Linked DNA regions of Macaca mulatta. The protein of the gene in region 2 binds, or shares a complex with, the protein of the main gene of each other region. Links are inferred from orthologs where the notes say so. Each region holds a gene or a part of one and is shown on either strand. Other genes may lie near its edges.

Region 1 (3,820 bases), on a different chromosome or scaffold from region 2:
ATGGGGTGCCCACGAAAGTGTTCCTTTTGATCTGGGTGTCCGTCAGCTGGCCGGCCACGCCAAAGTCCGCCAGCTTCACCTCCCCGTGCTCAGACAGCAGGACGTTGGCCGCTGCAAAAGCAAGCCAAGGGGGCCCTGAGCGGCGGGGACTTACAACTCCATGCACTGCCACAAGCGCGTCTTCTCCCCGGCTAGGTGTTGAGCCCAGTGAGAACAGGCACTGGGGGCTACACTTTTTGTCAGACCCCCTCAAAGCCAGCCCAGCCCAGGCAAGGCAAACGTGCAGGACAAATGGGTGCCAGCACCTTCCCTTGAGAAGGCTTCAGTGCAACCCCACCACCGCCTTCGGTATTTCAAAGGAATGAAAACAGACGTCCTCTTACCTTTAATGTCTCTGTGGATTTTCTTCTCCGAATGGAGATAATCAAGTCCTTTCAGTATTTCTCTTAATATAGTAGCGATCTGGGTTTCATCTAACGGGCCAGGTTCTAACTAAGAAGAGAAAAAATTCTTAAAGTTACTTAAATGATTATCTTATGAACAGTTTGAGATAAAACAGAAACACTATCCATGTTAATGGACAAGGGTAATTAAAACCTGAAATCTTCTTCACTTAAAACACAGGATTTTGCCCTAACAATTACAGTCCACTGACAGACACTTAAAAAACAAAGAGCCCAAGAAAACGGCTTTGCTGAACGAAGCAAAGCGGAGCCAATGAGGAAGCCCGCGGCCCCGCCTGCGCCTGCAGCTGACCACAGGACGCCCCACCGGCCATGGCACGGGCGGGGCACAGGCTGGGGATTTCACTCCAGGAAACAAACAGCCAGAGACTCACAGAGCAGCCAGGATCTGTCCCAACATATGTGGTTCCCTTATCAGAAGGCTCACCCCTGGGATCCAAAAACACCTAGGAACAAAGGCCTAGGAGCCCGGCGCCTCTGAGGATAACCTTGTACTAGAAATTTTTTAAATCCGCAGTTAAAGCTCCCCAACTTGGGGGAATGCAGCTGAAACAGCTTAAATCCTAATAGTTTGGGATTTGTTATATAATCGATATTATATAATAAAAATAATTATTATATTATCCCTGAGGTAATAATTACCTCTGTAAGCTTTTATTCTCAGAAACTCAAACTAATTGTTCCTACTGACTCCTTTATATCCACAACTGTACAAGACAAAAGGAAGAAATGTCAGGTATCCACATCTCCATTTAAAAGGAAAGGAAAACCAGGGTAACAGGCTCACTTCAAACCAGATGGGAAGCCCCGCCCCCGCCCCCTGCAGAGTGGGGCAGTCAGTCAAAAACAGTAATTCCACGGACGACAGCAGCAAAGCCACCGACGCTCCCCGGAACCACAGAAACGGAGCCGGACAGAGGGCAGATGTCAATACAGGCAGGTTCCTCCGAATCATGGTCCCCCATTCTTGGTTTTCAGGCGTGACAGTGAATGTCTTCAAAGCCCACACCCACACATTTTAGCCAACGGGAAGACACAATCTGGGGCCTTTCACTTAGTTTTAAAAAGATAAGTTATGTGCTTTAAGCCAAAGGGGATGAAAACTAGGGTGCTCCTCTGCGGGAAGCGTCTGACTGAGGCGTGCAGGGACAGACTCAGACTATCAGGGACAGACCCCGATAGTCCCCCTTGCATATCTCAGCTCCTTCACCGGGACATCCTGTTCAACATCCGGAAGGGCTTGTGGGGCGCAGGATGGGGGCAACCAAGACAGCCCTTGTCACCGAAACCACAGCCTGACTCACACCTGGCGCTGCTTTCCGGCTCATGGGTGAGCTGTGCTGCCTTGGCTTGCAGGCCCGCCCCGGTCTACACAGCAATCCCAGGGTCAGGGCCACTCTCAGAGGTGGCCTCTCCCCACACACTGGCCTCGATGCGACTCTGGCCTGCCTGGCAGTAGACCCAGCTGGAATCCAGCCACCCCGGCCTTCTCCACTCAGGACCCAGGCGCAGAGAATGCACTTGTCGCTTTGAATTTGACCTCACGCATATGCTCGGAGAAGGTCAAAATGCCCGTGTCCATCGCCTGCCAGGAACTGTCCCAAATTCCAATTAAGATATTGTCCAAAAGTTACCTCAGACTAAGACATTATGGCACAGACTCTGCTCCCCAGAACATAGTTTTTCCCAGTTAACTGACCAAAAGTCTTTTTTACAAGAAATGCATATCGAAACTACTCTTCTAAAGAACACCATCTGGAAAACCCTGCCTTGTGGTAAGTCTGTTTTCTCCACATCTATTTTTCGGTGTTCATAGAATATAGAAATATTGATTTTCAAAATGAGGAACACAGACTCTTCTCATCACCTGGGTGGAACGTGGGGAGGAGGGTAAGACGTAGGAGTGTTTGCTTTTGTTCCCAACCCTGAAGTGCAGGAGAATCCACTCGACCAAAGATCAAAGTCATGTGAGAGGCCAGGAGCGCTGGCTCACGCCTGTAATCCCAGCACTTTGGGAGGCCGAGGAGGGTGGATCACCTGAGGTGGGGAGTTCGAGACTAGCCTAGCCAACATGGTGAAACCCCATCTCTACTAAAAATACAGAAAAATTAGCCGGGCTTGGTGGCACATGCTTGTAATCCCAGCTACTTGGGAGGATCAGGCAGGACAATCGCTTGAACCCAGGAGGCGGAGGTTGCAATGAGCCAAGATCACACCATTGCACTCCAGCCAGGGCGACAGACCAAGATTCCATCTCAAAAAAAAACAAAAAACCAAAAAAAAAACAAACCAAAAGTCACACTAGAGTTGGGTCCCATCTCCCATCTCCCATCTCCCATCTCCTTCTTCACCAAGTCTATGCCCAAGCCAACAATCAATAACCTCTGGCTAGACCTGGACTTAACCACCCTCCCTTCCATTACCAAGTCTCCCGAAAGCAATGGCAGAGCGGCTGGCTGTCATCCCCAAAGGGCGCTAAGAAGAAGAGGTGAGGAACACTCATGGAAAATCCTCCCCTGGATAATTAAGGGCGGCTCTGTGATGACTATCTGCATGGTTCTGCCCTTTAAATCTGCCCTGAACACCATCCAACATTGACTCATATGCCCATGGGGAAAGAGGAGGAAGAGGAGAAAAAGAGATAAAACTCTCCTTTATTTGGGGAGAAATCCTTCCTGCATCAAAATCCACGATAAAGGGTATTTAGCTGTTGTCTACCCCAGAGTGCCTCCTAAGCAGCTCGGACCAGGCCAAGCTCTCCAAGTCATCGGCTGGCGTTCACCATCGTGACCATGCTCTCCATCATTCAGGCACTTGCAGACTCTTCAAATAGGACCCAGGAAAAAACCCTAGACTACATTCCACCGCTGGGTGACTTGTAACTTCCCCTCCCCGTGTCTGTCCTCCCCTGCTTCGAAGCTCTGTAATAGGGACTATCAGCTGGGCACACAGCCACGACAAGAGACCACATTTCCCAGACTCTAAGCAGCAGCCTGTGGTCACACAACTAAGACCTTGCCAGCGGGACAGACAGGAGCAAACGTGCCCCGTGCCCCTGCTTGGTCTTGGCCCTGAAGCACTGGCAGCGAGAGAGGACAATGGCTGAAGACCAAGGGAAGCCTGGGGCTCCAGATGGTGGAGCCACCCACCAGCACAGACCGTGACAGTGTGGGTCAGAGCCACTGGCCCCACGTGCAGGGGAGAAATGAATTTCTACCTTTTGTGAGACAATGTGTTAGAGCTAGTAGGATGGCAGCTTGGCCTAAACATTAATGAATATGCCATCTCATTTCTTAAAACCCATGTTGTGGACTCATTTTTTAAGTCTGTCAAACACCTCTGCCTAAGTGACTGGT
Region 2 (3,820 bases):
ACCTTGGACTTACCTATTTTATTTTTTTAAACTTATGTAGATTATAAAGCATTGTCTTTTCAAAGTATTTTTTTCTGACATTCTTAAAACTTGTTTTCTTTCAAAATATATGGTTCAAAATAATTCTGCTATTTCTAAAGTTCAGAGTTAAAGAATATTCTACAATACTACAGAAGCTTTTGAGTTTTATATGTTTTGGCCTGAATTATCCAGGCAACAGCCAAAATTCTTCCCTTACATTTGTGGCTTATGACAGTGCTGACTTTCATATCATGAGAAACTCAGAGATCTATCTCATGGATAAATCAGGTTTTTCAGATTTGGGAAAAATGAGAAAAACATTTTGGAAGAAATTGGGGATGATTTGTTAATGACAAATTTGTACTAACATGGCAGGAAAATATCCATGGAAACACCAGGTAAAGTTAATCGTTTGTTGCACCCTCATAAAAATTATTTGTACTTATTCCTTTGTTAACTTTTTTAAACAGTGAATTATGTTGAAAAGCCCTTATTTTATTCTTTATACTGGTAAATGTTAACCTTAAACACCAAAATTTTCCTTTGTTTTAATGATACCTTCTTTGTCTGTGAGTTTACAGAACTTTAAAGAACTGTCTCTAAAGTATTCTATGGAGATATATATATATCTTTAGAGAGAGAGATATATGTAATACATATATGTATCTTTATATATATCTCTCTCTCTCCACAGAAATAATAAATATTTAAACTCAATGTGTTTTGGGGGATGGTATAGAAAATGGAAGACATCTTTAATTTTCTGATATTTTAATAACTGAGACTTCTTAATAGTCTGTTTTGTTAATGAACTGGTTTTAGACGCTGCTGGCAAGTCAAGCGGTAGCCATTAAATGAACCTCTACTGCTGACATTAATTTACAGGGGCCAACAGGACAAAACTCTACGACATGATAGCTGATCTGGGAGATGATGAGCTGCCCCACATCCCTTCAGGAATCATTAATCAGTCTAGGTCAGCCTCTACTAGAATGACTGATCATGAAGGTGCAAGAGCAGAGGAAGGTACAGAATTTAGCTACCATGTTTATTTACATTTCAGAAGACCTTAAATCCAAATCACATCTTAATATTGCAACTAGGCTACTGTTTAAAATGTTGATGATCATTTTATATGATCTTTAGAGAAGGTGTTGGGCAAGCTCTTGATGTAATTAATTTAGGGATTTTGACATTTCTGGCTTCTATTTCTTCATATTTTGTTTTCATTTTTAATGTGAGGAGGAGTTGTTTCCATCATAGGTGAATTCAGAGTCTTTAATTTTAACTACAGATCCAGTAATGGGAAAATAGTAACTTACAAAAACAAACTTAAAATAATACATATGGAAAAAGCTGCTCATTTTGTCTTATTGCTTAAATTTAGCAGCTAATAATAATTACCACTTACTAGAAGACAACTGTGGTGCCAGGCATTGTGCTTGGAACCTTTTTTTTTTTTCTTTCTTTCTTTTTTTTTTTCCATGAGACTGAGTCTCACTCTGTTGCCCAGGCTGGAGTGCAGCTCACTGCAACTTTCGCCTCCTGGGGTCAAGCGAGTCTCCTGCCTCAGCCTCCCAAGTAGCTGGGACTACAGGTGCATGCCACCATGCCTGGCCAGTTTTTTGTATTTTTAGTAGAGACAGAATATTACCATGTTGGCCAGGCTGGTCTCAAACTCCTGACCTCAAGTGATCCGCCTACCTTGGCTCCCAAAGTGCTAGGATTACAGGTGTTAGCCACAGTGCCCAACCTGTTACTTTAAATATGTATTACTTTAAAAAATATGTGTAACTGTTGCCTCAATTAATCCTTTGAGAATAAGGCAATATCATTATTCTTTAACTTGGTAGCAAGTATATGCTACCTAGTAATGAATTTTATAAAATTTGCCTAAACTAGAAATGTGTAGGAAATGAAAGTACTACTTAAACGTTTTTTCCAAAATTGATTTTGGCCAAAGATATATAGGTATACTTGAATCATTTATAACTCTAAGTCTAGATGTTTATAAGTATTGAATCTGAGTTTTTAACCAAAGATTATTGTGACATACGAGATACAGTAATTTGGCATATATATTAAATTTCATTGATGTTATTGCCTTTGCTGTGTAAAGAGGATTTGTTTGATGTCCCAGTCAAAAAATTTTAAATGCATCTTGTTCCCTTTTAAGATTTCCCTAGTGGCACAGTTTCCTTACAGTTAAATAATTTTGCATTTTTTTCCCTCTCATAATTTACCATTTACTTCACTCACCTTAAAAAAATCACTAAAATAACAGTCATTCAAAGCAAAATGAATGAAAAATAAAATAGTGTCTGTTAATTTTTTCAGATCTCATTTCCACTATTGAGATATATTCCTGTTTTACTTTAGAATGAAAAATAAAATAGTGTCTGTTAATTTTTTCAGATCTCATTTCCATTATTGAGATGTATTCCTGTTTTACTTTAGAAGTATTTTCTAAACTACACATAGCAACTCCATTTTTTTTTTAATGCATTTAGTGATGATTTTGCTTCATTTTTGGTCTGTTTTGCCAAATATGCATAGCACAACTTGCTAAAATTTTTGTAATTAATGTACATTTAAACTGCAAGTTTTGCAGTTTAAGGCAAACCCATGTTAGCAGTGTGAACCCTTTTAAATGTTTCAAACCAATGACTTATGGTAAAAGCCAATCAAGGCACACTCTACACAAAAACCAGCTTAGAGCTCTCTATGTGTGTTTGTTTATGTGTTATGTGTGTGTTTTAAAGAAAGAATATAGGTCAGTGATCTGTTTCTTGATGCTGGGAGGAGGGCGAGGGGAGAGATTTGATAAATGTGAACTTCATTACAGTTTTTGAAGTGTCGATCTTACTAGAATTTGTTATTTAAAGAGATGTGAGTTTGACTTCAAGCTAAGAAGGCAGCTTTGGAGTACATAATCTCTTTATTTTCAGTGGCACTGTCCAACTTACTTCTTTACTTTTGAAGTCCATGTCCTACCTCATTTTGTAAAGAACAGTGTCTGTTTTCTAGGAGTGGTACTTCAACATTACAATCTTCTAGACTGTTGTTACTAAAGACTTGAGACATATCACATTGCCGCTGGTATAAATGGAATCTGTAACCTGGACTAAGTTCTTGGGAAAAAGAGTTCAGTATGTGAGCTACAGGTTTCCTTCATGATAAGTGTCCATCAAAAGGAAGATTAGTTATAAAAATCTGAAAAAAACCTTGTATTTTATAGACCCATTATACTAGTATTGTTATATTACTTGATGAAATCCTTCTTAGGCCTCCTAATAAAATGTCTTATAATTTCCATCATTAAATTAAAAACTAGGCCAGGCATAGTAGCTCATGCCTGTAATTCCAGCACTTTGGGAGCCCAAGGCAGGAGGATCACTTGAGCCCAGGAATTCAAGACCAGCCTGGGCAACATAGCAAAACCCTGTCTCTATTAGAAAAAAAAAAAAAAAAGATACCAAAACTAATTTTTTAGGCTGGTTAAAATAATTATATTTTTCTTTGAATTACTAATGACATTTTTATACTATGGGTAATTATATTACCATTAATAAAATGAATTTTTAGGATAGAAATTAATTCCATCTGCAGGGAAATAAGGGTAAACAAATGAGTAGCTGCTGGGATTACCATATGCCACAGTGATGGGTAATATGGAAAGCAGAGATAATAGTGTAAAAGAAGTTTTACACATATATATGTAAATAAATACTGAGTAAGCAGAATAGTTTGCAATATCTACATAAATATGTCATGAAATATATGTGTGTATATAGAGAAA

The links.
Region 1: STRN3 (region 2) and STK24 share a complex: the UniProt entries of both Homo sapiens proteins name them as parts of the core of STRIPAK complex. The link is inferred for Macaca mulatta from reciprocal best matches to the Homo sapiens genes STRN3 and STK24.

Annotation. Positions count from the first base shown.
Region 1 is NC_133422.1:93,178,350-93,182,169, forward strand, and holds part of STK24 (serine/threonine-protein kinase 24), read right to left. Parts: intron 493-3,820; coding exon 384-492; intron 112-383; coding exon 1-111. UniProt on the Homo sapiens protein: Serine/threonine-protein kinase that acts on both serine and threonine residues and promotes apoptosis in response to stress stimuli and caspase activation.
Region 2 is NC_133412.1:104,028,547-104,032,366, reverse strand, and holds part of STRN3 (striatin-3), read left to right. Parts: intron 1-906; coding exon 907-1,047; intron 1,048-3,820. UniProt on the Homo sapiens protein: Calmodulin-binding scaffolding protein which is the center of the striatin-interacting phosphatase and kinase (STRIPAK) complexes.